Macaca fascicularis: one gene and its partners. The main gene of each other region encodes a partner of the protein of the gene in region 2 in a complex. Links are inferred from orthologs where the notes say so. Each region holds a gene or a part of one and is shown on either strand. Other genes may lie near its edges.

Region 1 (8,291 bases), on a different chromosome or scaffold from region 2:
CCCCCTCCCACTTCCCCGACGGGACAGCCCGGCCCCTTCCTGTGCCGAAGCCGGACTCCCCTGGTCTCCTCCCGCACTTGGTTTTGTCTCTCTTAACACCATCGCCTTCCCGCCTCAGCCCCTTCAGGGAAGGGCAATGTGGACCCTGGGAGAGATGCGAAGGGGTGGCTGGGGTGGACCGAATAGGGTGTGGCCAAATGGGGGTGAACGTTTGGTAGTGGGGAGACTGAGGGCGGGGGGCTGAAGCCTGGCGAGAATGTAGGGAAGAATGTGAGTCCTGGTGGGGATCTAGGTCAGAGCGGGGGGCGCTCATTCTCCTCGTCTCTCCGCCTGGCTGGCAACCACTACTACCAGGTTTGAACTGTTCCGTGGGAGGGGGTGCGCGTGTGTATAGCTTTAGGAGCCATAGCTTTCCACTCCCGAAGAGCAGCTGGGAATCAAAAGGGAAGCAATGTCTAGGAAGCAACCTGAGTGTGTGGTGGAGGCAGGTATGGGACCTCATGATCTCTAAGAACCTGAGGGCACCGTGGGGGGCCTGGTCTGTGATCTTTCACACCCACTCATCCCTTCCCAGAGCGCTGCAACTGAGTTGAGAGCCCAGAAGAAAAGGGACCACAGCCTCTATCCCCAGAGTTTAGGGTTAGGGTGGGGTCGCCATCCTAGGCTTTAAAGGAAGCACTGCCCTGAGATTAGAGTGGTCTGGGGAACCAGGCCTCTGGGATTCCTTCCTGTTGTAGCCGGCTGTGCCCTGACCTTGTGTGCCAGGCCGTTGCCCACTCCCAGCCCCCAGCATCCCCGCTTCCTGCCATAGCAGAGTTGTGGTGCCTCCCTATCCCTCACTGGCAGCTCCCACCCCCATCCCAGTCCCTCCCGGCCCCTGGCTGAGCTCAGACTTTGGCTAGCATTCCATCATGTTTATTGACTCCTGGGGGACAGATCACAAAGTCAGTTTGTGGGCAGGCCAGACTGCCCTAGAAGGAAGTCAGGGGCCTCAAGGGGTGGCGCTCTTCCTTAACTCGTAACTCTTGGAGGCAAGCTCTGAAGGTGCTTTATTTTCCACTATGATTATACCAACCATGTGGCCCGCTCCAGTTTTCAGGTTCTTCAGGGCCTTCTTGCGAACCTATTGGTGGGGGGTGCTGCCAGCCCCTCCCCGTGCCCGAAGGTGCCAGGCCCCCTGTGGGCAAGGCAGTTGTCTGTTGCATAGTCAAATAGTTGTTGTCTCCAACTTGCACCCCAGAACAGTTGTGTAAGTTAATGAGTGGTCGCCCTTTAAGAGAAATAGTGATGGTGGCAGGAGGGTTTAGCTGTCAGAAAGGCCAAGTTGGGGGTGGGTGGGGAGTATGAGGTCTCCACCCCCAGCTTGGCCTTGAGTGGAGTGGTCGCCCAAATGACTGTGTTAAGGTGTGTCCTGTGCCCTTCCCTTCAGAGTTCCTCTCCAGAACTGGCTTAGCAGAAGCTCTAGAGAGTAGCAATTGACATTTGAGACCCTGATCTTTTTTGCTGGGAAGTCCTCTGGACTGCTGAAACAATGGAACTTAGGGGGCTCACAGAGCTGATGCTGTGGAAAGTTAGAAAACTCAGGGAAAAATCCAAGCTTCGTTGTGTGACCTCAGAGGGCTCCTTTCTCAGGGGGTGTCAGTTTTCCCATTTATGAAATGAGGTTGAGTTAGATGATCTTCTCCCCTCGCCTCCAGAAAGTACCCTGAATCTAGATATAGATCTGGAGGAGGAGTCTCATGGAAGAATTGAACAGGGAAAAGAAAGAGGTGGAGAGTGGGTACCTGTTACTGGATTTGGCTCCGGGGTCCTGGAGGACCAGTTCATGCCATGTCTCTCAGCGCCCTGCAAACATCACAGAGCATCCAGTTCTGTCCTGGAGCCTGGACCGCCCAGTGCACTCCTCTCAGCCCCAAGTTTTGCCTGGCAAGGGGACAGCATTTATAGGACTCTTAGTGCATCCCCTAATCCTGCCAATGTCTCACCTGATTCCCCTGGGGTCCAGGACTTGGTGTTCCAGTTGATGTGGGGCTGGGCATCTGGTTTCTGAAAGTTGAGGTCTCTGGAGTCTGGGGAGGTTGGGCCACTGAATCTGAAGATGTCCCTGCTGTCCTGGCTTGCAGAACCTGCTCCTCTTGTGCCCTGCTCCTCTTGGTAAGGCTCGGGTATTTTTCAGGAACAGAGCTGGGAGACCCCTCTAGATTCAGTTTGTTTAGCAGCTCAGAAACCATGACATCATTACGAGAGTGTTGGTTTCCTGTGGTTCTCCTAAAGCCATCCATTTCTGTCCCTCCTTGGCCTGACTCGGGGGTAGAAAATCTCGGATTGCTGCTCCTGAGCTCAGATAGGAAATTCTTTACCTGCAGGGATGGGAGGAGTTTGCTGGGTATGACTTGGATGAGCCAGAGTAAACCCAAGGGAGTAGTCTCTTGGAACTCAGGGGTGGGCTGGGGAGGGTGAGGACAAAGGTCAAGGCATAAAAAAGCTGTGGTTAATGGTGAGTCATTGGATGGCCAGGTAGCCATGTTGTGCCATCCCTGACCAGCTCCTGGAGAGGGGTGATGTTGGCGCTCACTGTGGAGACAGCAGCATTTATATTGTTCTCCACCATCTGGAAGGCTTCATCAGTTTTTGGTAGGCATTCTAGAGGGACAGCAGAGTGGGTTGCAGGTGAGCAAATCTTCTTTTCCTGAGGAAAGCCCCATGCTGACAGACCCAAGCTTACCCCAGATCCAGCTAATTGGCCAGCTCACCCTGGAAGGAGGGTCTGTCCTTGGGCTCACTGCTCCAGCAGAGCTGCATTAGCTCCTTCAGTCCTTCTAAGCCGGGAGTCTCAGGCCCAGCTTGGGGCAGCTCAGTCAATGAGGGCCGGGTCTGCCTCCTGCACACTGCTCCACACACCAGTGATGCTTCTGTTGGCACTGGAGTAGGGGAGGAGGGTGAGAAGAGAAGGCATTCAGGGTAAAAGGGAATATCTGCTCCATCATGGAAAGAGGCAGGGAGTGTAATGTGGGAGCACAAGGATGGAGGAGGGCAGTCTTAGTAGGTGAGCAGGAAGGGGAAGCTTTGGGGCTTTCAAGAGAAGGGCACCTGGGGTTAAGGATCCCAGAATCCGCCTAGAGTCTTACACTCAGCTTCTCTTCCAGCAAGCACTGCCCACATTAGGATCCCGAAGCTGCAGGAGACACAAAGCTGAGGACCAGTCCAATCACTGGCAAGACTCCTTTCCTATACATCACCCCCTGGGAGGGCCCAGAGAAGTGTAGGAATCCCGGCTGTGTGTTTGGGCTGGGATCCTTACCTGTAGACATCACTGGCTGTGGAGGCCTTCCGGTTTACATTAACAAACAGTTCTGGGGCCAAGTAGCCCAGGGTGCCCCCTGGCTCCCTGGATGCTGTCCCTGACTGTGAGCCTCCCTGAAATGTGGACAGGCCAAAATCTGCCAGCTGCAAAGGAAGGAAAGAAGTGGGAGGTAGGGAAGACAAGGGGGCCAGGCAGCCTCCAGAAACCCCCTTGCCCCCAGAAGGTTCAGGTTCAGCTTTGTAAAGGGAGTGTGGAGGTCAAGGGAAGAGGCTCCCTTGGATAGTAGATCTAGGTGCCTGTGGTAGGGCTGGGTCAAGGTGTGAGTCTCCAGGGCTGGGTCAGCCATGACTCTTTGGAGGGGTTGGTGGGGCAGCTGGTGGAAAGGACTCGTGTGGGTCGGGGCCTCTATCACCTGGTATGGCAGGAGCTAAAACTCCTGGCTGGGCTTTGTGCCCTGGCAGCCCTGTGTCCAGAGGGAGAGGCTACGCCTATTCAATAGACAGGGCTCTGGAGGTCTGGTGTCCAGTGGGCCTGGCTGGAGCTGCTCTGGGGTGGGACCTTGTCCTGAGGCTGAGAGGGGTGTAGAGCAGCTGACCTTGACGTGCAGCTCTGGGTCCAGCAGGACATTGGATGGCTTGAGGTCCCGGTGCAGGAGCACCGGGTTCTGGTTGTGCAGGTAAAACATCCCAAGCACCACTTCTTTCAGCAGGCGGCAAAGCAGCGGCCAGGGCCTAGGGCACTCGGGCTGCAGCAGCCGGGACAGGGAGCCGTTCTCCATGAATTTAGTCACCAGAGCCGGCTTGGGCACGTGGTCCCAGTTCACCTTCTCGATGACCCCTTCTAGGCGCAGCACGAATTCGTTATCCAGACTTGCCATGGCCTTGACCTCCCTGGATATCGCCTTCCTACACTCCAGGAGAGAGCTGGAGTCACCCGGGGTCGTGGGAAAAATCCCTCCATTCCCCATTCAGGCCCCAGAGCACAGTGGCTCCACCTTTTTGGCCAGATTGCGGCCGGGGGGGCAACAGGGGTCACTCACGAGTTTACAATCTTGACCGCCACGTCGTAGCCCCACTTCCTATATCGCGCCCGGAACACTGTGCCGAACCCGCCTCTGCCGACGAACTCCTGGTTTTCCAGTTCCTCGATGGACACCAAGGAGGCGGAGGCACCACTGGGCCTGAGACAGGGGTGTCGCCCACTAGCCGGCAGTGCCCTACGCCAGCGCTGCTCCCCGCGCCCCTGTGACTCGGCGCTCTTACTGCAATCCCCGGCCTCTCTCGCCGGCCCCCACCGTCTCCAGACTCAAAGGCGTTCTCTGAGCGAGTCCGTGGGGCGCTCTGGGTGTGAATGTCGGAGGCTGCGATCGACATGCCTCTCCCTACTCACCATAACTTGACGCACGACATCAGGCTGGAAGGTGCGAGGGGGCCTCTGGAAATTGCGAGCAGTAGGAGATGGAATGACTTCTGGGGCTGCGGTCTTTGGCAGAGAGGGGAAGGGATCTGTCTCTGCAGGGATCAGTCTCTAGACCAGGACGGTGACTCCACTTTCCGGGTTGCTACCCGTATTCTGAGTTGACTGAACAACTTCCCTTACAGGCGCCTCTACAGTCCCGCCCCTGGGGTGGGGCAGGGGGCAAAGCGAAAGCTAGTGTCTTTCTCCCTGACTAGCGTTTCCTGAGTGCCTGCCGCATGCAGCGGCCAGGTTAGGTGTGGCTGGGCATTGAGGATGTTAGGGAATGGGTCCTCACCTTCCAGGAACCCACAATCAACCCACTCCTACAGTCAAAGCCTTCTCTTTTCCCACAGGATTTCCTGCTCCACCACCTGCCAGGCCATGAGTGGAGATGGTGCTTAGGCAGGTTTTATGGTTTTAGGGCTCAGCTCTCTCATAGCTGCCCTAAGATCATAGCCAATGCATATATAAAACTTATCATGCACCAGGTACATAGATTAGCTTATTTAATTCTCACACGAACCCTAAGGGGATAGGTACTGCTTTTATTACCTTTCTATAGATGAGGAAACTGAGACACTGAGAGTTTAAGTACCTTGCCTAAGCCCATATGGAAATAATGGCTCTGAACCATCAAGTTATCCTGTTTTCACATCATAGGTTTCAGGGCTGTTTTCACATAGGTTTCACCTGTTTTCACATAGGTTGCAGGACCACTCAGCTGGTCCTGCAGGAGGCTGGGAAAGTTGTGAAGCATCCAACGATGTAGTGAAGGATCCCTATTTGTATTCCTTGGGACTTATATGTTCATAGGGACTTATATGCCCTATGAACAGGAGCTCCTTGAGCTGGCAGACCCCAAACCCACTCCAAGGGCATTGTGGTAAGGCTAGATATACCAGCCCATCCAGCGAGTTGGTGACATTGTGGTGTACACTGCAGTGGAAACAATTCAGAGCTTTCCTGCCCTCTCTCTTGCATGACAATTCTTGCATGCAAATACCCTAATTAATGTTCCTGACAAGCACATGCTCTGGACACAGGCTTTTGATAACCCAGAAGCATGGAGAGTCTTAAAGATTTAGGGCAGAAAAAAGGTGTCCATATTTTACCTTTTGGAGGTCTGACCATGACTGGAGGTTGTGGGAACCCGATAGGGCCAGCCCTAGGCACTCAGTCCTTCACAGGGATACTCAACCCTGTGGGTTGTGTGTTGGCTTTCACTAAAAGGGGCTCACCTTGGTACTTGCTTTCCATTTTGTTCAGCGGTCCATGGGCTCTTCTGGTTGAGGCAGAAGTGATCAGCAGTTTTTTCTAGAACAACTCCTGGAGAGCTACACCATGGCTTCTGGTAGGGTCAGCTCATGCTATTTTGGAGCTATTTAGGGAATTGTTCAACTGTAGTCTCTTTAAAAGCCAATACATGGCAGATACCCAATAAATATTTGTTGAATTGAATGAATAAATGAACAACCAAAAATATTAAGCCTCTTTTAAGGCACTGATCATCCTAGATGGAGCTCCATACTCAGTAGGAGGAAAGAGGAGATCGGGTTCCTATAGGGACTGAGGGCTCTCACCTGCACAGTTCATGAAATCCGTCTGAAGTAGGCTTTAGTATAGAGATATGGTGGTATCACACAGAATCCAAGAAGGCAAGAAGTGTAGCAGGTCCTCAGAAAAGCCTAGAGTCAGAAGCTGAGAACCATCAAAAGGGGTAGCCACTCCCTTTGTGATTCTTTTTGGAGAGAATAACCCAGGCTCAGTATCTCCACTTGAAGGAAGCAGGCAAAAAGGAGTTGGAAAGGTGTTATAACCGGGTTTCTTCAGATTGGTATGAGACCCTGAGAATCAGGGATAAACTACTGTGAAGCACAAAGTTGGGTGTGGTATCAGGGCCTATACAACTTTTTGACTCAAAATAAACAGCCCCTTTAAAAGAAGGAAGAGCAGGGAGAAGAACCTTAGAGTAAGTGCCTAACAGGACCCTCAGCTTCCAGCAAGGGGGTGTGGGGGTGGACCTAGGCACAGGTTGATTCTTGGAATTTGGAAACTCAGAGTTTGGAATAATCAGATAAAGAAACTAAAGAAGCTATTGTAAAATGTTTAAAGAAATAAAAAATAGAGTAGAGAAATAAAAGAGCAAGGCATTAGAGATCATAAACAATGTCCAGATATATTTACAAAAAATAAAACATCAAGAAATGAAAAATGTATGTAACCATTAAAATTGAAATTGTAGATTTTGGTTAAACAGAAGATATAGCTGAAGAACGAATTAGTGTACTGAAAGATGAATCTGCAGACATTCTCCAGAATGCAGCAAAGATGAGCAAATAGAAAAGTTAAGAGACAAAGAATGAGTAGGTCTAACATGTTAAATTGGAATCCCATGAGAAGAGAAGCGAAAAATTAAAAATGGGGCAAGGCAATATTTAAGGAAAAAATGACTGACAATTTTCAATAACTGATGAAAGACAAGGATCCATCTGGGCACAGTGGCTGACACCTGTAATTCCAGTGCTTTGGGAGGCCACGGTGGGAGGATAACTGGAGGACAGGAGTTCAAGACCAGCTTGAGCAACATAGTGAGACCCCATCTCTACAACATAAAAATTAAAATAAAAGGTTGCCAGTTCTGGTAATCTTAGCTACTTGGGAGGCTGAGCTGGGTTAGGGTTAGGGTTAGGGTTAGGGTTAGGGTTAGGGTTAGGGTTAGAGCTTGAGCTCAGGAGTTGGAGGTTATGGTAAGTTATGATTGCACCATTGCACTCCAGTCTGGGCAACAGAGCAAGACCCTGTTTCTAAATAAATAAATGAGCAAATATAAAAAGTCAAATATACACAAATATAGTTGTGCCAAAAAGGATAAATATAAAGAAATTCACTCTAGTTATACCTCAGTGAAACTGCAGAACAGTGAACACAAATAAACAACATTAAAGGTTAAAAAGAAAGCATAGATCATCTACAAAGCAGCAGTAACTAAACTGGAAATACACTTCTCAACAGCCAAGTAAAAACCAGAAGACGTTGAAATAATTTAAGGTGCTCAAAGACAGGAAAAGTGTTCCTGAAAAAGATAACTTTGGTGTGTATACAATTTTATATTTACAGACAGGTAAAAAAAGAAAAAAAGACATTTTCAAATAAATGAAAACTGAGTTTACTACGAACAGTCACTTTCCTAAAGAAGTTTCTAATGGATGTGCACAAAGAAGATTAAAAAAAAAATTATCCCAGAATGAACGCATGAGACACAGGAAGAAACAGCAATTTCCCAGTAAGTTTAACCATGAAACTAATTAACATCATGTCAGACCCTTAGAAATGAGAGACAGTGGCTCACTAATTTTTCTTTTCTTTTCTTTTCTTTTTTTTTTTTGAGATGGAGTTTCGCTCTTGTTGCCCAGGCTGGAGTGCAACGGCGCAGTCTCGGCTCTCTGCAACCTCTGCCTCCCGGGTTCAAGCCAATCTCCTGTCTCAGCCTCCCGAGTAGCTGAGATGACAGGCGCCTGCCATCACATCC
Region 2 (8,090 bases):
ATATACCTCCTTTATCATGATGGTTTAGGGGCACAGGACTGATACTCCCTTAGAAGTTAAGCTAATTCTGAAAGACTTTTTTTTTTTTTTTTTAAATACAGAATCATGCTCTATTGCCTAGGCTGGAGTTCAGTGGTGCAACCTTGGCTCACTGAAACCTCCGCCTCCCGGGTTCAAGCAATTCTCCTGCCTCAGCCTCCAGAGTACCTGGGATTACAGGTGCGTGCCACCTCGCCTGGCTAAGTTTTGTATTTTCATTAGAGACGAGGTTTTGCCACGTTGGCCAGGCTGGTCTTAAACTCCTGACTTCAAGTGATCCACCCGCCTCGGCCTCCCAAAGTGTTGAAATTACAGGCGTGAGCCACCGCACCCGGCCTGAAACACTTTTTAAAGCTATCTTTTTTGCTCATTACGAATGTAATACAATCTTCATTTTTTGAAATCCCAAAATGTGCAGAAGAGAATGCCATAGAAAGTGAAACCCCAGGTGACCAGGACTGGAGTGAAGGTCGTGGTGTCCGAGCCACACATTTCCCAGGAATAACAGCAGAGAGTGGACCCTTTGCAGCAGCTTCGTAGGGTTTAGATTTGCCATGTCCCCCCAAATAAGGTCACACATCCAATGGCAGGGGCACACAAGAGAGCCCATGACCATTCCACTTTGATTATTAAACATTTGAATGACATTACAAGGGCAATAATTCTATTTTCACTCTGAGAAATTACCGGAACCCCTCCAAACAAAAGCTTTGTGAGCCTGCCTTGCCCTAGAAAGTCCAAAGTGGCATCAAAACACTGCCTTCCAGAAGTCCTGCCTCAGAACAGCCTCTGTTGCAAAACGTGTCACCACAATTGCAAAATATCCTGCTTTAGACCAGAAAGTATCGTTCCCTGCCCAATTCTGTCATGGCGTTTTGGTCTCAGTTCCGAGGAGTTTTCTGACCAGTCAAGATGGGATCACACAGCACCCACAGCGTCACTGCACAGTCCCATCCTTTCTCCATCTGGTAGTGGGAGACTGCCTGGGAGGTGCTGGGTTGCCACTGTCCAGAATCAGGGACAGGTGCTGGCCCCAGTGATACCCTAGTCAACACCCTTCTTCTGGCTCAGCCTAAAAATTCCAAAAATCTGTCGTCTGCACCATCAATGTGCATTTCACCCATGGTTTTTTTCTTTTCTTTTTTTTTTTTTTTTTTTTTTGAGATAGGGTGTCTTGCTCTGTCACCCAGGCTAGAGAGCAGTGCAATCACAGCTCATTGCAGTCTCAACCTAGGCTCAAGCAATCTTCCTGCCTCAGCCTCCTGAGTAGCAGGGACCACCAGTGTGTGCCACCACACCCAGCTAATATTTTTTCTATTTCTTGTAAAGGCAGGGTCTCCTTATGTTGCCCAGGCTAATGTCGAACTCCTGGGCTTAAGTAATCCTCCTGTCTCAGCCTCCCAAGGGCTGGGATTGCAGGTGTGAGCCACTACACCCAGCCCAATTCACCCACTTTTTAGAGAAGATGTTGGGCTCAGAAAGATCTAGTGAACTGCATGTTTGTTGTCAGCTATGAAAATAAAGCAAAAGCATCAAATACTCTGTGAAACAGAAAACAGGTGGACCAGCTGGATAGTAAGTAAAATTCAACCAATCAGAACTCATCAAAGCCTTGAACCCCTGGCTGGGCACACACAGAGGCACTCACACCCAGAGATGAGTGTTCAGCTAGGCATCACAATGTTGTGACTGACCTGTGGAAGTGACCCATCCTGGACCTCAGTGGTCAGCTGGAAATGTGACATCCATGGGTAGTCATGAATAATAAAAAGTAAAATCACAAATTATTGTCATGCAGGAGACGATGTTGTGAAGTGGTTTGATGTTTGGATCCTGGCTCTGGGCAAGTCACTAAGCTACAGATTCTTGGCTGCAGAGGAGGATGATAAATGCAGTCCTGCAGGGTACAGTCCTAGAGATTCTAGGAGGTAGTGTTTATAAAGCAAGTGGTGGCTGGTGCAGAGGAAGTGCTGGTGAAGGGTAAACTGCATTATTAACAAAACTTCTGGACGGGCACAGTGGCCAGATTACAGGGATTACACACCTGTAATCCCAGCACTTTGGGAGGCCAAAGCGAGTGGATCGCTTGAGCTCAGGAGTTCAAGACCAGCCTGTGCAACATAGTGAGACCCTGTCTCTATAAAAAAATACAAAAATTAGCCGGATGTGGTGGCATGCAGCTGTAGTCCGAGCGACTTGGGAGGCTGAGGTTGGAGGGTTGCTCAAGCCCAGGAGGCAGAAGTTGCATTGAGCCAAGATCCTGCCACTGCACTGCAGCCTGAGTGACTGAGCAAGACCCTATCTAAAAACAAAAAATTAAAAAATTAGGGTATGCAAGTAATTTTTTATTTTTTTGAGACAAAGTCCCGCTCTGTCGCCCAGGCTGGAGTACAATGGCACAATCTCGGCTCACTGCAACATCCGCCTCCCGCGTTTAAGCGATTCTCCTGCCTCAGCCTCCCGAGTAGCTGGGAATACAGGCGCGTGCCACCATGCCTGGCTAATTTTTGTATTTTTAGTAGAGATGGGGTTTTACTATGTTGGCCAGGCTGGTCTTGAACTCCCAACCTGAGGTGATCCACTCACCTTGGCCTCCCAAAGTGCTGGGATTACAGGCGTGAGCCACCACGTCCAGCCCCCGACATGTAACTTCTGTTAGCTTCAAAGCCACCTCTGGGGCCCTGCACCAGACTATGAGCTGAAGGACACCCGTGCCTTTTCACCCCTGTAGCTTCAGCATCCTGGCACACTGTCTAGAATGTTCAGTGAATGTGCACGGAAGGGCATTCTGGCTCCAGGGAGTGAGAACTGAGTCAGCTCTGGGAACAGATGAGTCAGGCTGGTGGTCGAGGCATTGCTTTTCAAGCCCTTCATGTGGCTGGAAGAACCAGACAACTGGAACTGGATCAACAGGGGTGATGGCGTGGCAAGAGTTACCCCCGGCAGTGCCCTTCTGGCCTCACTTGCCTTCTTGGGCCAGGAAAGGCAAAGCTCACGGGGCTGTATTTACTGCCCACCCCTTCCCCCATCCCATGCCATTGGCTCTGGAGGGTCTGTGAAACCCTGAGTCTGGAGGAGAACAGTTGACCAGCAGGGCTGGCCCTCAGCATAGTCCTCTCTGTTCCCATTCACCCGCTCTGCCAGCCCCAGATCCTGGCAGGAAGGGAGATTGGAGGGGTTGTCTGGAATCAATCCTAGACCTTCCCTTGCAGACTTGCCCACCTGTCTGTGGTCTAGTGTGGAGATGAGGTCCAGGGTTTGGGAGGGGTGTGGGGACAGATGTCTGCCAAGGCACTGAGCCCTCCCAGCTGGAAAATCCTCTGAACCTGTGAGAAGAGAACACAGCCAGCATGGACACACCCTTACCCTTAGTCTCAGTTCCCACCAAGACACAGAGCATTTCCTGTGCCTTTTCCGCTATTTCACAACCTACTTTTTCTTGCTCACCAAGGTAGAGGCTTCTTCTCCTGCCAGAAGCCAGACAGCTAGCTCCAGCGTCTCCTGCTCAGCGCCATGGCCAAGACCCCTAGTGACCATCTGCTGTCCACCCTGGAGGAGCTGGTGCCCTATGACTTTGAGAAGTTCAAGTTCAAGCTGCAGAACACCAGTGTGGAGAAGGAGCACTCCAGGATCCCCCGGAGCCAGATCCAGAGAGCCAGGCCAGTGAAGATGGCCAGTCTGCTGGTCACCTACTACGGGGAAGAGTACGCTGTGCGGCTAACCCTGCAGGTCCTGCGGGCCATCAACCAGCGCCTGCTGGCTGAGGAGCTCCACAGGGCAGCCGTTCAGGGTAAGCGGGCCCAGGCTGCCTCCTCACCCAGCACTGAGGCCTGGTTGCTTTGTGGGAAAAGGGACCAGGAGCTCAGAGCAGCTCACTCTGACTTGGGGGTCGGGAGTCTCAGGTCTACCAAGATCCAGGTGACTTTAGTTCAGGAACGTCCCTTCCTTCACTCTGGCTTTTGGCACTGGGTTAGTAAACTTCCTTAAGGCTCCCAGTGGGTTTTAAAGAAGCAGGTCAGGGTCAGGAAAGGCAGGAGCTGGAGCACCTATTCTTTGAGACTTCTTCACTTCATTTATGATTAATACTCATGTCAGACAAACATCTCTAGGTTAGCAAAAAGGGATTGCTATGCAATCGTATGAACGGGGCTGGTATAGAATCTTTTCAGTGCTGTTCACCATGTTGGCCAGGCTGGTGTCAAACTCCCGACCTCAAGTGATCCTCCTGCCTCAGCCTCCCAAAGTGCTGGGATTTCAGGCATGGACCACCGTGCCTGGTTTATTTTTATTTTTGAAATGTATAATCTGGGTTTTGCTGACCTGTGTAAGATCTTATTTGAAACAGTTGTCCTGCTTACAACGTTTGAAAAGTACTATTTGAGGAATACATGGTGGCTCACACTTATAATCTCAGCACTCTGGGAGGCTAAAGTGGGTAGATTGCTAGAGCTCAGGAGTTCGAGACCAGCCTGGCCAACATGGTGAAACCCTGTCTCTACCAAAAATACAAAAAAAAGAGCCAGGTGTGGTGGCACACATCTGTATTCTCAGCTATTGAAAAAACAGAAAACAGGCTGATGTGAGAGGATCGCTTGAGCCTGGGAGGCAGAGGTTGCAGTGAGCCGAGATCACATCAGGGCCACAAAACAAGATCCGGTCTCAAAAAATAAAATAAGAGAGAGATAAATATGTAGCAACATCAAGCATGTTCTTACTGAATGGTAATTGACTGCCATTGTCTAGGAAGTCCTGAACTTTTGTTTTTGAAATGGAGTCTCGCTTTGTCACTCAGGCTGGAGAGCAGTGGCGCAATCTCAGCTCACTGCAACCTCCACATCCCAGGCTCAAGCGATTCTCATGCCTCAGCCTCCAGAGTAGCTGGGACTACAGGTGCACACCACCACGTCTGGCTAAATTTCGTGTTTTTAGTAGGAACGTGGTTTTGCCATGTTGGCCAGGCTGGTCTCGAACTCCTGACCTCAAATGATCCTCCCAACTTGGCCTCCCGAGAAGCTAGGATTACAGGCATATGCCACCACGCTCAGCTTATTTTTGTATTTTTAGTAGAGACAGGGTTTCACCCTGCTGGTCTTGAACTCCTGACCTCAGGTGATCCTCCCGCCTCAACCTCCCAGAGTGCTGGGAATACAGGTATGAGCCACCGTGCCCGGCCCGTTTTTTCCTCCATTTCTAAAGTTTAATATCCATGGGGATTCTCTCTCCTCTCCCCTGAATCTTGGGCCCTAAACGTGGGACAGCTTCATGACTTTGTAGCTGGTTGTCTTTCCAGAATATTCCACACAAGAAAATGGCACAGACGATTCCGCAGCGTCCAGCTCCCTGGAGGAGAACAAGCCCGGGAGCCTGAAGACTCCAGACCACCCCGAGGGGAAGGAGGGAAAGGAGGGGAACGGCCCTCGGTCGTGCGGGGACTGGGCTGCCAGCCTGCGGTACAGCCAGCCCGAGGCCGGGAGGGGGCTGTCAAGGAAGCCCTTGAGCAAACGCAGAGAGAAGGCCTCGGAGAGCCTGGACGTGCAGGGCAAGCCTCGAACCCGGAGCCCGGCCCTGCCGGGCGGGAGAAGCCCCGGCCCCAGCCCCTGCAGGGCGCCAGAGCCAGGCCAGGCCGAGGTCCTCCTGCGCAGGAACGCCAGCTCCGCGGGGAGGCTGCAGGGGCTGGCGGGGGGCGCGCCGGGGCGGAAGGAGTGCAGGCTCTTCGAAGTGTACCTGCCCTCGGGAAAGAAGCGGCCTAAAAGCCTTGAGTTCACCATTTCCACAGGGGAGAAGGCGCCCCCAAATCCAGAAACTCTCCTGACTGTAGAGGAAACGACAGCTGCGAATCCGGACTCGGCAACAGGCGCTCAGGCAAGGCCCACTCCGGATGGAGGGGCGTCTGCGGACCTGGAGAAAGGCCCTGGGAATCCAGAACATTCGGTCACCGGTAAATTGTGTTTTTTCCTACTTTATATCGGCTGCAAAGAAAGAACAGCTGGCCGGGCACGATAGCTCATGCCTGTAATCCCGGCACTTTGGGAGGCCAGGGCTGGAGGATTGCTGAGGCCAAGAGTTTGAGACCAGTCTGGTGAACATAGTGAGACCCCCGCCATGTCTATAAATAAAATTAAAAAAATAAAAACCCAAAGGTTGGACAGGGCGCCATAGCTCACGCCTGTAATCCCAGAGCTTTGAGAGGCCTGAACGGGAGGATCTCTTGACCCCAGGAGTTCCATACTAGCCTAGGCAACACAGTGAGACCCCATCTCTACAAAAAATACAATAGTAGCACTTGCCTGTAGTCCCAGCTGCTCGGGCTCACTTGAGCAGGGGGAGTTCCAGGCTACAGTGAGCTGAGATCATGCCAGTACACTCCAGCCTGAGCAACGTAGCAAGATTCCACTTCTACAAAACTAAAAAAAAAAATTAGCTGGGTGTGGTGGCACATGCCTGTAATTCTAGCTACTCGAGAAGCTGAGGCAGGATGATTGCTTGAGCCAGGGAGTTCCAGGCCTCAGTGAGCTGAGGTTGTGCCACTGCACTCCAGCCTGGGCAACACAGCAAGACCCCGTCTCTTAAACATTTTGGGGGGGTAAAAAAAGAAAGAAAGAACGTCCAATTGAAAAAGGCAGTCAGGTTTTATTCAGTGGCCAAAGAATAGAGAAGGGGAGCTCGCCTCTGCAGGCATCTGCTTGCCAGGGATGGGAGGCAGGGGGATTTTAGAGTCCCAGGAGGGGAAGGGAGGTAGGTAAGCAGGTCCAGGGCAGGGTTCCATACATGAAGGCGCTGTCCCCAGCGTGCTTTTTCCTACATCGCATGGACATGAAACCCTGGCCATCTTCTTTTAGGGGAGGGGCCTTTAGCCTTATAATGATGTGTAAATGATCTAAAGGTAACTGGAAGTTACCTGTTCCAGTTTGCACTGGTTTTGCTCTGAACTTCCTCTGGTTTTTGGCAAGGGATCAGGCAGCTCCAGGCCATCTGGATTTTTTAAAGCAGCTGTCCCTATAGGTAAAGAGACCAGAGAAAAACTGTAAAAGAAAAATGCCATCAGTTTAGAGGGGATTGAGGTTGTCCAGGTGACAATTCCATGCTTGTGGTGGGGGCAGCATTCAGAAACACACCTTCTTTTTTTTTTTTTTTTTTTTTTTGACACAGAGTCTCAGTCTGTCTCCCATGCTGGAGTGCAGTAATGTGATCACAGCTTACTGCACCCTCAACCTCCTGGGCTCAAGCGATCCTCCCACCTCAGCCTTCCGAGTAGCTGGGACTATAGGTGCTCATCACCACACTGGTTTTGTTTTTTTGTTTTTGTTTTTGTTTTTTTTTTTTGTACAAAGGAGGACTCGCTATGTTGCCCAGGCTGGTTTTGAACTCCTGGGCTCAAGCAATCCACCTGCCTTAGCCTCTAAAAGTGATAGGTGTGAGCCACTTCACCCAGCCTATGGAACACACTTTCTAATACATTGTTCGCTGGAGAGGAGAAATCACAGCATTCAAAGAGGAAAAATAGAACTGGGGGTCCAGGCCGGATGTGGTGGCTCATGCCTGTAATCCTAGCACTTTGGGAGGCCAATGGGGGCAGATCACCTGAGGTCAGGAGTTCAAGACTAGCCTGCCAACATGCTGAAACCCCATCTCTACTAAAAATTCTAAAATTTCCGGGCGTGGGGGCAGGTGTCTGTAATCCCAGCTACTCAGGAGGCTGAGGCAGGAGAATTGCTTGAACCCAGGAGGCAGAGATTGCAGTGAGCCGAGATCACGCCATTGCACTCCAACCTGGGCAACAAAAGCAAAACTCTGTCTAAAAAAAAAAAAAAAAAAAGATCTGGGGGTCCAGGGACCCCTGAGACCTGGGAGGGAACAGGACGTGGTATACTGCATAAGTCTTCAAATCCAGAAGTCCCTGGGTCTTCTGGTGAGAAAGGACCCTGGGATCTGGAAAACCTAGCATCCTTAGGAATAGTGACCTGAAAAGTACTAAAGTACTTCCCCCCTAATTTTCTTTTATCCCCACTGTATTTTTTTAAATTTTTATTATATATATATTTTTTTAGATA
Region 3 (7,570 bases), on a different chromosome or scaffold from region 2:
CCCTACTCCAGCTGGCCCAGCCTCTGCTTCTCTGCCCATTTTACAAATGGGGAAACTGAGGTTTCCTGCAGTGGGTTGTAGGGGATGGGGATCCAGAGGGCTAGCTTTATTTTATTTATTTATTTATTGAGATGGAGTCTCACTCTGTCACTCAGACTGGAGTGCAGTGGTGCGATCTCCGTTCACTGCAACCTCTGCCTCCCAGGTTGAAGCAATACTCCTACCTCAGCCTTCTGAGTGGCTGGGATTGCAGGCACATGTCACCATGCCCAGTACTTTTTTTTTTTTTTTTTTTTTTTGGTATTTTTGGTAGAGACATGGTTTCACCATATTGGTCAGGTTGGTCTCGAACTCCTCACCTCAGGTGATCCACCCACTTTGGCTTCCCAAAGTGCTAAGATTACAGGTGGGAGCCACTGTGTCCAGCCTAGAGTGCTAGCTTTAAAAACCCCACCTGCTCTGCTCTGGTTCAGCTGCCTGGTGGAAGGAAAGGAATTTCCCATCATGCTTCTCTGCCCACAAAGATTCTGGCTCCAGTTCCTTCCAGTGAGGACCCACGGGGTGACAGGGGTGGGTCTGGCCTCTAGATCCCCAGTTACCTGGAGGGCTGCCAGGGGGGCTGTGGGCAGGGCCCTCGGACAGCACGCCGTGAAGCCTCATCTCATTGCTGTGTCCCAGCTGCACCCGTCTGAGCATGGACCGCTCCATGTGGATGTCCTGGGGCCCCCAGGGATCATTCAGGGTCCCCTGAGTTGAGGAATGACCTGGTGCCATTGAAGGGAGGTGGCGGGGACCAGTAGAACCTGGCAGGGGACAGTGGCACAGCCTCACCAGAGATTACTGCAGGCTTCTTCCCCCTCCTCACCACCACCCACAGTCCTGTCCTCTGAATTCTTCCTAGACACCATCAAACTGGGGGCCAAAGACTTCAGGCTCTGGCTTAGACAGCAAGAGTACCTGGCAGAATAGCTCATTTTGGGGCTCCCTGGGTTCTCAGGACTGGGGCTGGTGCCTGGATGTTGCAGGGACACTCACAAACCCAAACAATGAGCTCCTCGTTCTGATTCTGTCATTCCCGAGCCTTCTGATCTCATAGAGACAAAGTCTCCTTTGGTGCTAACACCAAAGGCTCAGAGCCTCCTGCAGTGTTTTAACTGCCAGGGACAATTTATTTTTATGGTGATTTTAATGGTTTTCATTTAAAATAATACTATAAAATTGTTTTAAAATAAAATTTTAAAAATGTGCACTACTCAACATTAATTAAATAATCAGACATGAGTATGGCCAGAATCGGGAATGTGGGGCTCAGAGGATTAAAGCTGGGGAAACTATGATCTAGATTCTAGAACAAAGTTCCTAGTTTCACAATTGGGGAAACTGAGGCTGACAGAGGGGAAAGGTTCTCCCAAGGTTACAGGGAGTGTCCCGACTTTGGGGCTGAAGCTGTCACTCACAGGTGACAAGGCTGGGCTGACAGGTGGCTCTGTTCCCTCTTGCCACAGTGCCCAGCACAGGGTAAGGGCTCAAAGTGCAACACCGCATTTCATCCAAACCAGGATGGCACAGGTGGTGAGATGCACCCCAGTTTCCAGCCTGTTAAAATGTGGGGGAAAGTTGCGTGTCTCAGAACAAATACTGTGCTATGATCACCTCCCCTGTGGCATTCCCCGGAGGGAGAGGAAATTGAGTCGTTTCTCATGAAAAACACCGGACCCCATTGAAAATGAGGCACAAGGTCAGGTGCAACACAGAGCTACCCCATCTTAATTTTAAAATTTTATTAAAAAATAAAAATAAAATTAAATTTTAAAATGACGTAGAAGGTATCAGAATACAGGGAAATCAGGAGAGCTTTGATCCGGGCGTCCTCATTCTCAGGACGGCCACAAAGGTGGACTGTGGGGATCTGGAAGCAACCCTTTCCCCTTGGAGGGCTGAATTCCCCCATTCCCCATCCCTACCCTTTGCCCCCACCCAGTGGATCAGGTGGCCTCCCACCGAGGTCCCCTCCCCGGGCTCTCTCGGGTAACTCACCATCCTCCCTGGAGGCTGTGTGTCTTGTAATGATGTTCCCGTGTCCAATCTGGATGGCTTCGGAGTTTGCAATGGAAATCCGGCCATTCGGTCCATTCTGGCAGATCATGTTGATTGGATTGTGCTGGTAAATAATTGAGGCCGACTCTGCTCTTCTTCCAGAACCTTCTGCAAAATAATATTCAACTCTATCCCTTCGCCCCTCTCTATGGGTCAGGGGTTCCCAATACCAGTGGGCAGCACCAAATTCTCCTGGGGAGCTTGTTAAAATACCCTGGGCGTTCCGAGTCAGTAGGGCCAAGTGGGAGGCCAGAGCTGAGTGTTTAACAGACACCCCAGGTACCTCAGAGGGAGCCTCGCTTGAAAATAGCCCTGTGAGTCACCCTACCTGTGTCCTTTGCTGCCCCCATGGCTGGGCCGCCATGATTGCTGGCTGGGAGGACTGCAGGGGCCCCACACTGCTCTCCCTGGGGGGCAGCCACAGCCCGGACCCCCGAGCACCTGCACCATTGCCCTTCTCCCTTGAGTAGTGGCCGAGAGACAGCAGCCCATTGGACAGATCAGTTGTGCTTCGCACCCATGACATTTTAGATATTTGAATTTGTCACTCGTGTTTAAAATCTGGTGACTGTCATGCATTATTCCTTCCTTATAGCAGCCCTAGGATGCTGAGACCCCCTCGGACACCCATCGTGAGTAGCAGAGTCGCCCTATGGCGGTCGAGGCAGGCACCTGCCCAGACTGTGTGGGGCCCATCACCACCCTCTGGGGTCTCGGCTCCTGTGCCTTTGTGGGCCCTTCCCCCATACACAAATATTTAAATTACATTGTATGTCAAGGATAACCCAGGCCGGATTTTTAAATTAAATTTAATTTAATTTAATTTTCTTTTGAGACAGAGTTTCACTTTTGTTGCCCAGGCTGGAGTGCAGTGGTGTGATCTCAGCTCACTGCAACCTCTGCCTCCCAGGTTCAAGCTATTCTCCTACCTCAGCCTCCCGAGTAGCTGGGATTACAGGCGCCGGCCACCAGGCCTGGCTAATTTTTGTATTTTTAGTAGAGACAGGGGGTTGCCATGTTGGCCAGGCTGACCTCAGGTGATCCGCCTGCCTCAGCCTCCCAAAGTGCTAGGATTACCGGCATGAGCGACCACGCCTGGTCCATTTTTAGATATTCATTATTATTATAGTATTCATTTCTTCTGATTTTAAATGAAATTAAAATTAAAACATTTTCAAGGACCCCTAAGAGTGCCATGGGCCTGTTGGATCTTGGCCCTGCGCCTATTAGATCTCACAGGGAAGACGACCCTGGGGCTCCACCCAGTAGGGGTCTGAGCCTAGTCTTGCCTTCTCTTCTGCCAACTTTAAAACCCCAACTTGGGCAAAGTGCTCAAAGAAAACTATTCCCAAACCCAGACTGATACCTGCACCTCAGAGCTGAGAACATTGGGAATGGGCCACCTCCATCCCATTCGCTGGCCTTCTGCAACTGCAGCCCTTGGGCCACGACTCCAGGAAGCTGTTCCTGGTTAATCCTGCCAGCACACCCCTTCCTCCTGGAAGCCCTTGCAGTGAACTGTCAGTGGGACCTCCAGAAGCTTCTGGCAGTTTCTGGTGAGCTTCTCAGCAGAGCACCCAGCAAAGACCAAGCGCTAGTGTCATGGTTTCCCTCTGCAGCCCAGGTGCAGGCAGCTGGGGGCCTACCTGGGCGGTAAATCGTCCACACTTTGGACTGCTCATCCACGTCCAGAAGGTGCCTGCTCTTCATCCTGTACAAGTCTGGGTTCACATCTTTTGCTGTCCTCATTCCCAGTGCCTGGGCGATGACCAGGGCCCTCTGGGGACCATTGTCTTTGAGAAACCTGTAGATGTCTTCCTCTGGGAGGCAGGACGGCCACGTGGTTAGAGAGGAGTCCTAGAATTTGCATCTGCCTCACCCACCGCTTTCTAGCTGTGTGGCCCTGGACCCAGCCCCTCGAGGCCTGGTTTCCTCATCTGTAAAATGGGCACCACGATAACGGGGTCATGATGACGCACCGCAGAGGTGCCCTGAGGATGGGGGATGTGCACGCAGTGCTCTGCCCTGGGCCTGGCACATGGTGGGTGCATGGTGAGGGTCAGCTATTGTCTGACTGGAGAAATCACTGCTCGACATTCAGATTCTCCCGCTGTCAGGGCTGGGTCTTGGCTCTGAACACTGTTTGGGAGCCACCTGGTGGGTGGGACAGGGCCCCTGAACACTGGTGAGATCTCGTACCCTCAAGGAGGGCCTGGGGTTCCTGAGGAGTGGGATCCTGTGTCCCGGGAGCTGAAGGGGCATGCAATGACTTACCCCGCTGTTGGCTGAACTGAGGGCTAGGGGTCTCTGGAACTGTAGCTACACATTGCTGGGGCCTCTCGGCTGGAGAAAGAAAGACGGGTCAGAGGGGTGGGGGACAGAAAACAGCACCAGGGCTCCACCCCACAAAGGTGGGCAGCACCCTAGGGTGAGCTGCAACGCCGGTAGTTGCAAACTCAGACTCCAGAGTTAAACACACTTGACATCAAGTCCTGCCTGTGCCCTGGCAGCTGCGGCTTCCTGCTGGTTTACTTCTCCGGGGCTCAACCTCCTTTGCCTCCTGGGGTTGTGTGAGGGCTGGGTGAACCCTGAAACAGTGCCCAGCTAATCTTAAGTGCATGACAAATGGCAGCTCTTTCTGGCTGTGGGCTGTAAAGCTAGAAAAGGGGGGCTGGTGGGACTGAGTGTGTTCTGTGATTAGGACCATCATGTCATTGCTGTTTCCATCATGATGATTTTCTGTTATAATTGTTAGTGTTCCGCTGAGTACTTTCTGTGTGCAGGGCTGGGCTGAGCCTGATGCAAGGCCTTCTCTCAGCAACCCCTACCAAGCAGCCCTGCTGTCAGCTCCATCAACCAGAAAAAGAAACCAAGGCACAGAGATGAAACCCGTGAGCTCCCAAGTGGCAGAACTCAGATTCGAACCCAGGCTCAAATCTATGCTTGTCCATTGCCAGGATGGTCCCTGCCTGGTCAGACCCACCTCCCCAGGGTGGCAGTTACCAGGGCTGGACAGGGCCAGCTCTGCAGGACCCTCGCCTCCAGGACCAGTCCCGCCCAAGCGCCAGGTGGCGGGGGCTGTGAGGGAGACTTTCAGCTCCTTTAGCATTCGGTAGAGGACTTGGTTGAGCTCCCTCTTGGGTGCTTGGCATTCCTTCACCAGCTGGGCAAGCTTCACTGGGGAGCCAGCCTCTGTCAGCACCTGCAGGATCCTCTGTTCAAGGTGGCCTGGGGGAGTGAGCGGGGGACAGAGATAGGGACTGAGTCTCCCGGGTCCCCACAGATGAGCCCAGGCTGGAGGCTCCAAGAGGCACGTGAGGCCCCTTTTTGAGAGGTGTCCAGGGCAGAGGAGAGGGCAAAGACCCCAGCAGATACCCCCTAAGAGCAGCAGAGCAGCTGCCCCTGCCCAGAGAGAGGCATGCAGGCTGATCAGAAATGGCCTGGCAGCCAGAGGAGGTGCCGCCTCGCCTGTGCCCTCCCCGGGTGTGGGTGCCAGGGGGCAGTGGGGTTCCTCAGCTCTCAGGTGTCCTCAGGGCAGAGAGGAGTAGAGGGCAGAAGGACGGAGCCAGAGGGAGGCAGGGGGACCTGGGAGCACAAAGGCAAGTCCTGCCTGGGTGTACCTGATGCCCATTGCCATCCTCCCTGGGAATCAATCGCCTCTTCTCAGCTCACCATCCTTCCATGGTGCCACTATCCATCGAAGCCAGAAACCGACCAGACATCAGAAACAGACCTTTCCCCCAGTGCCCAGTCGTGGAGCCCTGGAAATGCCATTCTTGGATTTTCTGGAATTGCCCCACTCCTCTCTTCTGCCGGCACCACCCGCTTCCTCACCACCATCTCCTGGGTGCAGCAATAGGCTCCCGGTTGGCCCACCAGCTCCAGTCGGGTACCCTCCAGATCTGGCTCTGCCGACCACCCAGCTTGACCTGCACCTGCTCCCAACTTCCCTCCAAGTGCTGGCCTGTTTGTGCTCCCTTTAGCCCCACTCACCCCAGCCCCTTTGCACACACTGTTCCGGCTGCCAGGAACACCCTTCCCCCACATCCCAACCTGTATGATGTCTACTCAACCTCCAGCCTCCTCACATGCCACTTCCTTGGGGAAGCCTGTCCCTGTGTTCCAGAGTGGCTGGGATCTGCTTGTGTGTGGGTCCCCTCGTGTCCCCTGCTGTACTTGCGTGGCTCACTGTTGTACCGTCAGCATGTAGCACAGTGCTGGGCACACAGGACGTGCTCAGGAAATGGCAGTTGAATGTATGAGTGACTGAGTGAATGAATGAATGAATGAATGGGACCAGGAGTGGTGGCTCACACTTGTAATCCTAGCATGTCAGGAGGCTGAGATTGGAGGACCCCTAGAGGCCAAGAGTTCTAGACCAGCCTGGGCAACATAGTGAGACCCCCATCTCTACAAAAACAGAAAAAAAATCAGGTAGGTATGATGGCACGTGCCTGTAGTTCCAGATGCTCAAGAGGCTGAAATGGGAGGATCGCTTGAGTCTAGGAGGTTGCAGCTGCAGTGAGCTATGAATGCACCGCTGTACTCCAGCCTGGGCAACAGAGCAAGACCCCATCTCTGGAAAAAAAAAAAAGGACTGAGTAAGTGAGTGTCTGTCTCTAGGGACAGACATTTACTCAGTAGACCCAGGCAGCTCCTCCTTGGCCAGTTGGCAGGTGCTGCTGTTTCCTGGCCTGAGTTTAATGAGCCCTAAGCAGGACCCCAAGAGATTCAAGGAGGAATTCTCCAAATGGCCCCTGCTCCTCCTGAGGCAGCTCTTAAAAATCAAAACCATTAGCTCAAACAATGATTAAAAAATCAAAGCCAGCCACTGCCCAGAGATGAGGCTGGGGCAGACACAGGGTACAGGCAGCACCTGCAGCCAGCAGCCTGGGAGAGCCACGGTGGGGGGGGGGCCCACCTGTCACCAGAAGGTTCTGCTTCAAGGAACCCGAGGGCAGTGCGTGGGAGAGCTCTTCTGGGAAAGACCCGAGTTCCCCTTCCAGGACAGTGACTCAGTCCTTGTCATCTGGGCTTTCTTCCTGTTCAGAGGATTCTCTAGGGTTGCCCAGGGATCTTCGGTCGCAGCACTTGTAGGGGAGGGAAAAATCAGTTTGTGCCTCGCCCTGATGGCTACAATGCTGACAGGCTACCGTGTGCAGGTGAAGAGAAATGAGAAGACCTGGGAATTCCCACTCCTGCGCCTACCAAACTCCCCCACCGGCAGCCAGCAGCATCCCCGTGCACCTGACTTCACACCTGGCTTCGCCTTGTCTCTCGGAGTTTTTTGTTGTTGAGACAGAGATTCACTCTTGTTGCCCAGTCTGCAGCTGCAGTGGCGCGATCTCGGCTCACCACAACCTCCACCTCCTGGGTTCAAGCAGTTCTCCTGCCTCAGCCTCTTAAGTAGCTGGGATTACAGACACGCACCGGGTTCAAGCAATTCTCCTGCCTCAGCCTCTCAAGTAGCTGG
Region 4 (7,014 bases), on a different chromosome or scaffold from region 2:
TAGATGAGAAGCTGGAGCTTCCCCTAGATCTGTAGTGTATAGACCAGAGAGGACAGAACAACTCATAGAGATGTTAATCTGTCCTCATAAACATTTTACAGACTAGTTTGTACCAAGTGGTTTTAAGGTATGCAATAGCGCTAAAGCTGACATTTTAGGTTAAATACCTGTATGTGGAATTACTGGGTCAAATAATATGAGCATAATTACTAATAATGTTGCCAAACTAATATTTCAATTAACACTTCTGAGGACATTTTCCTTAATCATATCATCATCACATTCACAAATCCTGGACATTATTAACCTAATGGATAAGGAATATTCATTGTTTTAAAGTCCCTGATTTCTGTGGGTCTCTTTAAAAAGTGTCATCTTTCTTATTTATTTTAAAAGCAATAGGTATTTCTTCCAGAGAAATAAAAAAAACAACAGAATATCAAAAACATCCATAATTCTATCTTCCAACTTGATGCATGTTTTCCATGTTTATCATGGCATAATCTACAAACAACCATACTTACTCTTATTAATGGAAATTTCTGTGAATTTTTACAAATGCATGTAGTCATGAAACTACCACAAAAGTTAAGATAGAGAATAGTTTCATCATGACAAAAATTTCCTTCCTGCTGCTTTGTTGCCAGCCTTCCTCTCAACTCCAAGCTCCTAGAAACCACTGATCTAGTCTTTACTATACTTTTGCCCTTTACGGAATATCATAAAATGAAATTAAAAATGTAAACTTTTGAGTCTGGCTTCTTTCACTTAGAGTAAAGATCTATCCATGTAGATGTGTGTGTCAGTAGTTACTCCTTTTTATTGCTGAGTACAATTCAATTATATGGATCTACAAAAGTTTGCTTATTCAATTTTCAGGTGAGGGATAATTGAGTTTTTTACATTTTTGCATAATTACAAATAAACTTTCATGAATATTTACATGCAGATTTTTGTGTGAACATACATAATTATTTCAAGCGGATAAAAAAACTTAGAGCAGGTTTGCTGTGTCATGTGGTAAGTGTATGTTTAAATTTATAAGAAATTTCCAAACTCTTTTCTAAAGTGACTGTAAGACTTTTCATTCCCACCAGCAATAAGTAAGAGTTTCAACGGCTCTGTATCCTCCTCAGACCTTAGCATTGTGGATACGTATTAAGTTTGTAAAAATGGACAAACTCTTTTGCATAAAGGTTATACCATTTGACATTTCCACCAGCAGTGCACGACAGTTTCAGTTTTTCCAAATCTTTGTCAGCACTTGGTATGGGTAATCTATTTTAATTTTAGCTGTTCTAATAAATGTATAATGGTATCTCACTGTAGTTTTAGTTTCCATTTCCTTAAAGATGAATTATGTTGAGTGTATTTTTATGTGCCCATTTTAAACATTTAATTGGTTGTTTTGCAATTATTGAATTTTGAGTGTTCTTTATAAATTCTGGATACAGGATCTTTTAGTTTTTTGAGACAGTCTTACTCTGTCACCCAAGCTGGAGTCCAGTGGTGTGATCTCAGCTCACTGCAACCTCTGCCTCCCGGGTTCAAGTGATTCTCCTGCTTCAGCCTCCCGAGTAGCTGCAATTACAGATGCCCACCACCACGCCTAGCTATTTTTTTTTTTTTTTTGGATTTTAGTAGAGACAAGGTTTCACCATGTTGGCCAGGCTGATCTCAAACTCCTGACCTCGGGTGATCCACACACCTCGGCCTCCCAAAGTGCTGGGATTACAGGCGTGAGCCACTGTGCCTGGCCTGGATACAGGGTCTTCAGCAGCTATGTGACTAACAAATATTAAGCCACAATCTATGGTTTGCCTTTCAATGCTCTTAATGGTACCTTTTGAAGAACAGAAGTTCTTCATTTTGATGAAGTTCAAATTATTAAGCATTTATGTTATGTAGATTGTGCTTCTGGTGTGATATCTAAAAAATCTTTAATCTTTCCCTAGACCAAGATCACACAGATTTTCTCCCATGTCTTCTAGAAGTTTTATGGTTTTGGATGTTTATGAAAAGCCAATGATCCATTTGGACTTTATTTTTGTATAAAGAGTGAGGAATGGCTCAGATTTGTTTTTTTAAGTACAGGTATCTAATTGTTCTTGTACTTTATTTTAGTCTTTTCTCCATTGAACTGTGTTTGTACTTTTGTAGAAAATCAATAGACTGTAAATTTACAAGCCTAGTTTTGGCTCTCTAGTTTTCCGTTAGGCTTTATGCTTATTCTTTCTCCAATAACACAAATTGTCTTATTATTTATATACCTTTTAAAATATTTCTAAATCATTGCCCTATGGGACAAAATATACATTTTTAATTATGCAGTATCTACTTTCAAATAATACTGCACTGCTTCACATGTTGTACAGGATCTTCTAACAGTATACTCCTAATTCTTCCCTCTTGTATTTTGTGCAATTGTTGTCATGTAGTTTACTTTTACATTTGTATAAACATATAATACATTGATAAAGTATTTTTGCTTGAGACAAGGGATTGACAAACTAAATGAGATACTGTAATGAATGAGAAACAGATGTTTATTGTGATCATCTGTTGATATTCTGAATTTGTTTATCCAGCAATTATCCTATCCTAATTTGGTGGAGAGAGGAGCCTGTGAACTGCTGCTCTCAGGTAACTTACAATCTGATTGAAGAAGATGTATCACGTATTCTTCAATTAAATGCTGCTTAGACCAGTTGGCTTGAATTGGTCCTTTTTATTTCTCTATGTTTTTTTACTGGCCTTAATAACCTGGATGGAGAAAAAAAAAAAACATGCAGTCTGAGATGCGGTCAATAAGTGGCCCCTCCTCTGTTTGCAGTCACTATGGCCTTCTAAAGTGTATATCACCTTCTGATAAAATTATTTTGTTCCCACCCTTCTAATACATTGGTTTGTCTTGGATCATACTCCCAAAGTGAATATCTGACCTGAGAAATACACTCCAACTTAGCAAGGTCATATATGCATATTTCTCAAGTCTTGGCCTCCACTCCTACAGAGACAGCAGGTAGTACAACCGACACTGAGACTTGGGGAAGAGCACCAACTAGTGGCAGGAGATGGGTAGGAGGGTGTGGTGGAAGGTCAAGAGTAGGGGTTTACATGGACTCAAGTGCCCTGGACTATGGTAGGTGCAGGCGTGGTGGGACTGGCTAGGGAAATGTGTCCTCAAAGTATCTATTGTGTGTCTACTTTCAAAGACATTACTCAGAATGACTTTTCCAACTCTGGGCAAGCTTTCTGCTTTAGACTTGTAGTGTTACTGAGGAGCTCTTTCTTGGGCTCTGTGTGCATAACAGTATGCGCCTCTGCCTTGGAAAGCCCATGTTCTCTTAACTGTGTATCTAGAATACGTGTTTCCTAAGAGGGAGGTTTCTCAGTTCTGGGAGATGGACGTGTATTAAATATCAATGTCTTCCATTCCATATCCTGTTCAATGGCTCCAGTCCAGCTTCCTGACAGAAAGCAAAACATATCACCCCCTTGGAGAGTTGACTTTGCTCCATGCAGTTCCCACCTTTATGGTGCTATGAACTCCAGATGTCAGCTGTGGTTTTTCTCCATTTTTTGACAGTGTGAAGAATGTAAGTCGAACCTTATCTCCTTCCTTACATTGCATGGTGTCCTCGTTTCTAACCGCCAATACTTCCATTTCCCCAGTCTTGTCACTTAGGTCAAATAATACATTTTTCTTCTTTTCTGTTACCTGTAAAAGAAAATCAACATCCAGCCTCTGATAATCTGATTAAGGAATGCCGCATCAGTCACACATCAGACATGCCAGAAGAAGGCTCTAAAAAGAAATACAGTTAATTCTTGAACAACACAGATTTTACCTGTGCAGGTCCATTTACATGGGAATTTTCCTCTGTCTCTGCCACCCCAAGACGGCAAGAGCAACCCTCCTCTTCCTCCTTCCTCCTCAGTCTACTTAACGTGAAGACAGTGATGAAGAACTTTGATGATCTACTGCCACTTAATGAATAGTCAGTATATTTTCTTTTTTGCGATTTTCTTAATAACATTTTTCTCTACCTCACTTTTTAAGAATATAGTATATAACATGTATAACACAAAAATGTGTTAAGTGACTGTTTATATTGTCTGTAAGGCTTCTGGTCAAGAGTAGGCTATTAAGTAGTTAAGTTTTGGGGGAATCAAAAATTATATGCAGATTTTCGACTGCTCGGGGTCAGCAGCCCTAATCCCTACATTGTTCAAGAGTCAACTTGAAGAAAAAGTTTCTGCTTTGAAACTAGCAGGTATATATCTAATAGATGTTAGCAAATTCACACAGAGGAGGCAGACATGTCTTACTTAGAATATGCTGTCTCCTATGCCCATCTTTCCAGTCCCAAACTCCCTTCCTTTAGGAGGAGGCCAGGGTGGCCCATAGAAGCAACAACTGCTGGATAGAGAGGATGGAGCTTCTCCAGGGCCAGTAGCCAGATTAGTCAGGGGAAAAAAGAAGACCCTGGGGTTGGAAGAGAGCTATTTTTTTTTTTTTTTTTTTTGAAACAGAGTTTCGCTCCTTCACCCAGGCTGGAGTGCGATGGTGCAATCTTGGCTCACTGCAACCTCCACCTCACTGGGTTCAAGCCATTCTCCTGCCTCAGCCTCCAGAGTAGCTGGGATTATATATAGGTCCCTACCAATACACCCGGCTAATTTTTGTATTTTTACTAGAGACAGGTTTTGCCACATTGGCCAGGATGATCTGGAACTCCTCAACTCTGGCGATCCACCTGCCTTGGCTTCCCAAAGTGCTAGGATTATAGGCATGAGCTGCCGTGCCCAGCCTGAAGACAGCTATTTAAAACAACAAGTCCAGGAGAGACATGAGGTAATGATGCAAGATCCAGCTGAGAGTCTAGTAAGTAATCAAAGACAAGAAATAATGCACAATCAAGTCTAGATCAAAAGGAAATAGGAGGTTGGTCAGTTATTTCGGAGATTGATTGTATTTTAGCTTTAATTTTGTGGACTAAATCAATATATGTTAGTGGCCAGATTAAAAGCTGAAAACTGGGACAAAGAACATGACCTTCCTATCCAAGGTCATTTTACACTTGAGTTTTCCAAGAGGACTGGAGAGTCTTCCTATCAATTCCTTCTAAAACTAACCCAAGGCAGCAGAGGTTATTCTGAGGCTCTGAATGCAGGGGCAGCAGGTTCCCTCTCTACGGTTCTTCAGGTCCTGCCCTAGACCAGAAAAAGTCATTCCACAAGGCTAGTTCCCTGAAGCTCAGAGTCATAATACTTTATTATTTCTCACTTCTAATAAGTCTCCTCGAGGAGTGCCTCTGCCCGGCCACCCCACCGTCTGAGAAGTGAAGAGGGCCTCTGCCCGGCCGCCCCACCGTCTGGGAAGTGAGGAGGGCCTCTGCCCGGCCGCCCCACCGTCTGGGAAGTGAGGAGGGCCTCTGCCCGGCCGCCCCACCGTCTGGAAAGAGAGGAGCGCCAGCCGCTGTGCAACCTTCCAAGTGTGAAGTGATAGCCTTGTATGTGATCTTTTCTGTCTTCCCCAAGTTTGCATTTTCGACATTAAAGTTTACTTTTAATTAAAAAGAAAGAAATAAATAAGTCTCCTCAAGCTAACTCTTTCTTCTGTTTTCTTCATTTAATCACAGTTCTTTAATCCTGACTTGCATATTGGTTTTTCAGGTCAATTAATTTGGTTGATTACTCAACTACACTTATTTTGCAATCACAACAATAGTCACTTAAAATAAAGATAATATGGACAAAGTACAAAAATAACGCAGAAATAAAAACTATGTGAACGAACTAATTCCTTTTTCAGAGGCTACTGGGATAAGAATAAGTTGAAACAGGATTGTGACATTTTTGACAATAAAAACAATTTTTGAGTTTTCGTATGAATTTTGGCATGTTAACTCTGCAGCTCTTTAGAACTTTGTATTTTTTTATTTTGTCTGTATAGACATTAACACCTTTTCTAAAGTCTCTTTAAGATCAGATGGAAAATACGTTATTCTTACTAATCAATATGAAATTAGCTATGAAAACTTACCTTCTGGACTACAAACAACCCATTCACAATTGTTCCAAGGGGCTGAGTTTGAAGCGTGTTGATCTTTGGGGTTTCACCAGCTTTTCTGATAATGTTCAGCGGGACATCAACCTTTTGGTCAGATTTAGCATCTAACACACATGAGGCGCTATTTACCTCTAAGAAACCACTGTGCTGATAATATCTTGATATTATAATCATTCTCTTTGGAATGAATTTATCTTTCAGCAGTGTATTAAAAACTTTTACAAAGAAGAATTCCTTCTCTGTAGCCACCGTAGCATGAAACATCTCTTGCTTGCCTTCTTGGGTCTCAAACGTGAAGGGCTTTGTTGCTTTCAGTACCATAACTGGCAAACAGTCTTTCCGAAACTCTTCTCTGATAGATTCCTGCTGGGCCACCCTCTGTTTCTGCTCAGGCTGAAGACAAGAGAAGAAAGATATCAGCTGTGAGTCAAAAAGGTACTATTGAGAGGACCTTCCTTCACCCACAGTGCTAAGCCTCAGGAAACCACAGAAGACAGGTGGAATCAAGGGAAGAGACACAGAGGGGATAAGAAGAGACTTGAGGCCTAGAATGATCTAGATGGAACAGAGAGTGCAGAAGGAAGATTTCAACTCCTGTATTCAGATAAGACGGTGTAACATGTTTTGGAGGAAGGATCCCTAAAACCAAATCCTTGCTTTGCCATGTGCTGTATAAAAAGACTTCATCAGATTTCTGAAATATTGCTAAGCCTCGGGGTAAATCTGATAAATCTGATTCCATCTTCTGTGGATTCCATTCGGGCATAATATATCCTTGTTTCTCTATCCAACACTGTCCTAAACATTCATTTTACTCTGGTATAAAAGTGAGAGAGCTCAGTGACCTGCACAGGGTTCCCCAAATTCCTAGGGAGGTATTGTACGTAACAAAATGTAGACTATGTTTAATGTGAGTTAAGGGGGAGACCTAGGTCAGA

The links.
Region 1: MEFV (region 2) and RIPK3 share a complex: the UniProt entries of both Homo sapiens proteins name them as parts of the AIM2 PANoptosome complex. The link is inferred for Macaca fascicularis from reciprocal best matches to the Homo sapiens genes MEFV and RIPK3.
Region 3: MEFV (region 2) and ZBP1 share a complex: the UniProt entries of both Homo sapiens proteins name them as parts of the AIM2 PANoptosome complex. The link is inferred for Macaca fascicularis from reciprocal best matches to the Homo sapiens genes MEFV and ZBP1.
Region 4: MEFV (region 2) and AIM2 share a complex: the UniProt entries of both Homo sapiens proteins name them as parts of the AIM2 PANoptosome complex. The link is inferred for Macaca fascicularis from reciprocal best matches to the Homo sapiens genes MEFV and AIM2.

What each region holds. Positions count from the first base shown.
Region 1 is NC_088381.1:92,151,615-92,159,905, forward strand, and holds RIPK3 (receptor-interacting serine/threonine-protein kinase 3), read right to left. Parts: upstream 4,879-8,291; 5' UTR 4,714-4,878; coding exon 4,694-4,713; intron 4,485-4,693; coding exon 4,344-4,484; intron 4,210-4,343; coding exon 3,900-4,209; intron 3,448-3,899; coding exon 3,302-3,447; intron 3,176-3,301; coding exon 3,129-3,175; exon of another isoform or gene 3,091-3,128; intron 2,922-3,090; coding exon 2,754-2,921; intron 2,644-2,753; coding exon 2,576-2,643; intron 2,361-2,575; coding exon 1,986-2,360; intron 1,846-1,985; coding exon 1,785-1,845; intron 1,271-1,784; coding exon 1,050-1,270; 3' UTR 900-1,049; downstream 1-899. Other genes in the region: ADCY4 (adenylate cyclase type 4), read right to left, coding at 1-313. UniProt on the Homo sapiens protein: Serine/threonine-protein kinase that activates necroptosis and apoptosis, two parallel forms of cell death. Necroptosis, a programmed cell death process in response to death-inducing TNF-alpha family members, is triggered by RIPK3 following activation by ZBP1.
Region 2 is NC_088394.1:4,046,356-4,054,445, reverse strand, and holds the start of MEFV (pyrin), read left to right. Parts: upstream 1-3,492; 5' UTR 3,493-3,552; coding exon 3,553-3,829; intron 3,830-5,329; coding exon 5,330-5,977; intron 5,978-8,090. UniProt on the Homo sapiens protein: Involved in the regulation of innate immunity and the inflammatory response in response to IFNG/IFN-gamma.
Region 3 is NC_088384.1:113,676,844-113,684,413, forward strand, and holds part of ZBP1 (Z-DNA-binding protein 1), read right to left. Parts: intron 7,508-7,570; exon of another isoform or gene 7,357-7,507; intron 7,188-7,356; exon of another isoform or gene 7,019-7,187; intron 6,676-7,018; exon of another isoform or gene 6,540-6,675; intron 6,214-6,539; exon of another isoform or gene 5,326-6,213; coding exon 5,101-5,325; intron 4,441-5,100; coding exon 4,372-4,440; intron 3,918-4,371; coding exon 3,744-3,917; intron 2,206-3,743; coding exon 2,038-2,205; intron 1,597-2,037; coding exon of another isoform or gene 1,547-1,596; exon of another isoform or gene 1,435-1,546; intron 804-1,434; coding exon 600-803; intron 1-599.
Region 4 is NC_088375.1:102,020,652-102,027,665, reverse strand, and holds the end of AIM2 (interferon-inducible protein AIM2), read right to left. Parts: intron 6,470-7,014; coding exon 6,050-6,469; intron 5,611-6,049; exon of another isoform or gene 5,301-5,610; intron 4,859-5,300; exon of another isoform or gene 4,702-4,858; intron 4,002-4,701; exon of another isoform or gene 3,731-4,001; intron 3,722-3,730; coding exon 3,533-3,721; intron 2,764-3,532; coding exon 2,737-2,763; 3' UTR 2,529-2,736; downstream 1-2,528. UniProt on the Homo sapiens protein: Sensor component of the AIM2 inflammasome, which mediates inflammasome activation in response to the presence of double-stranded DNA (dsDNA) in the cytosol, leading to subsequent pyroptosis.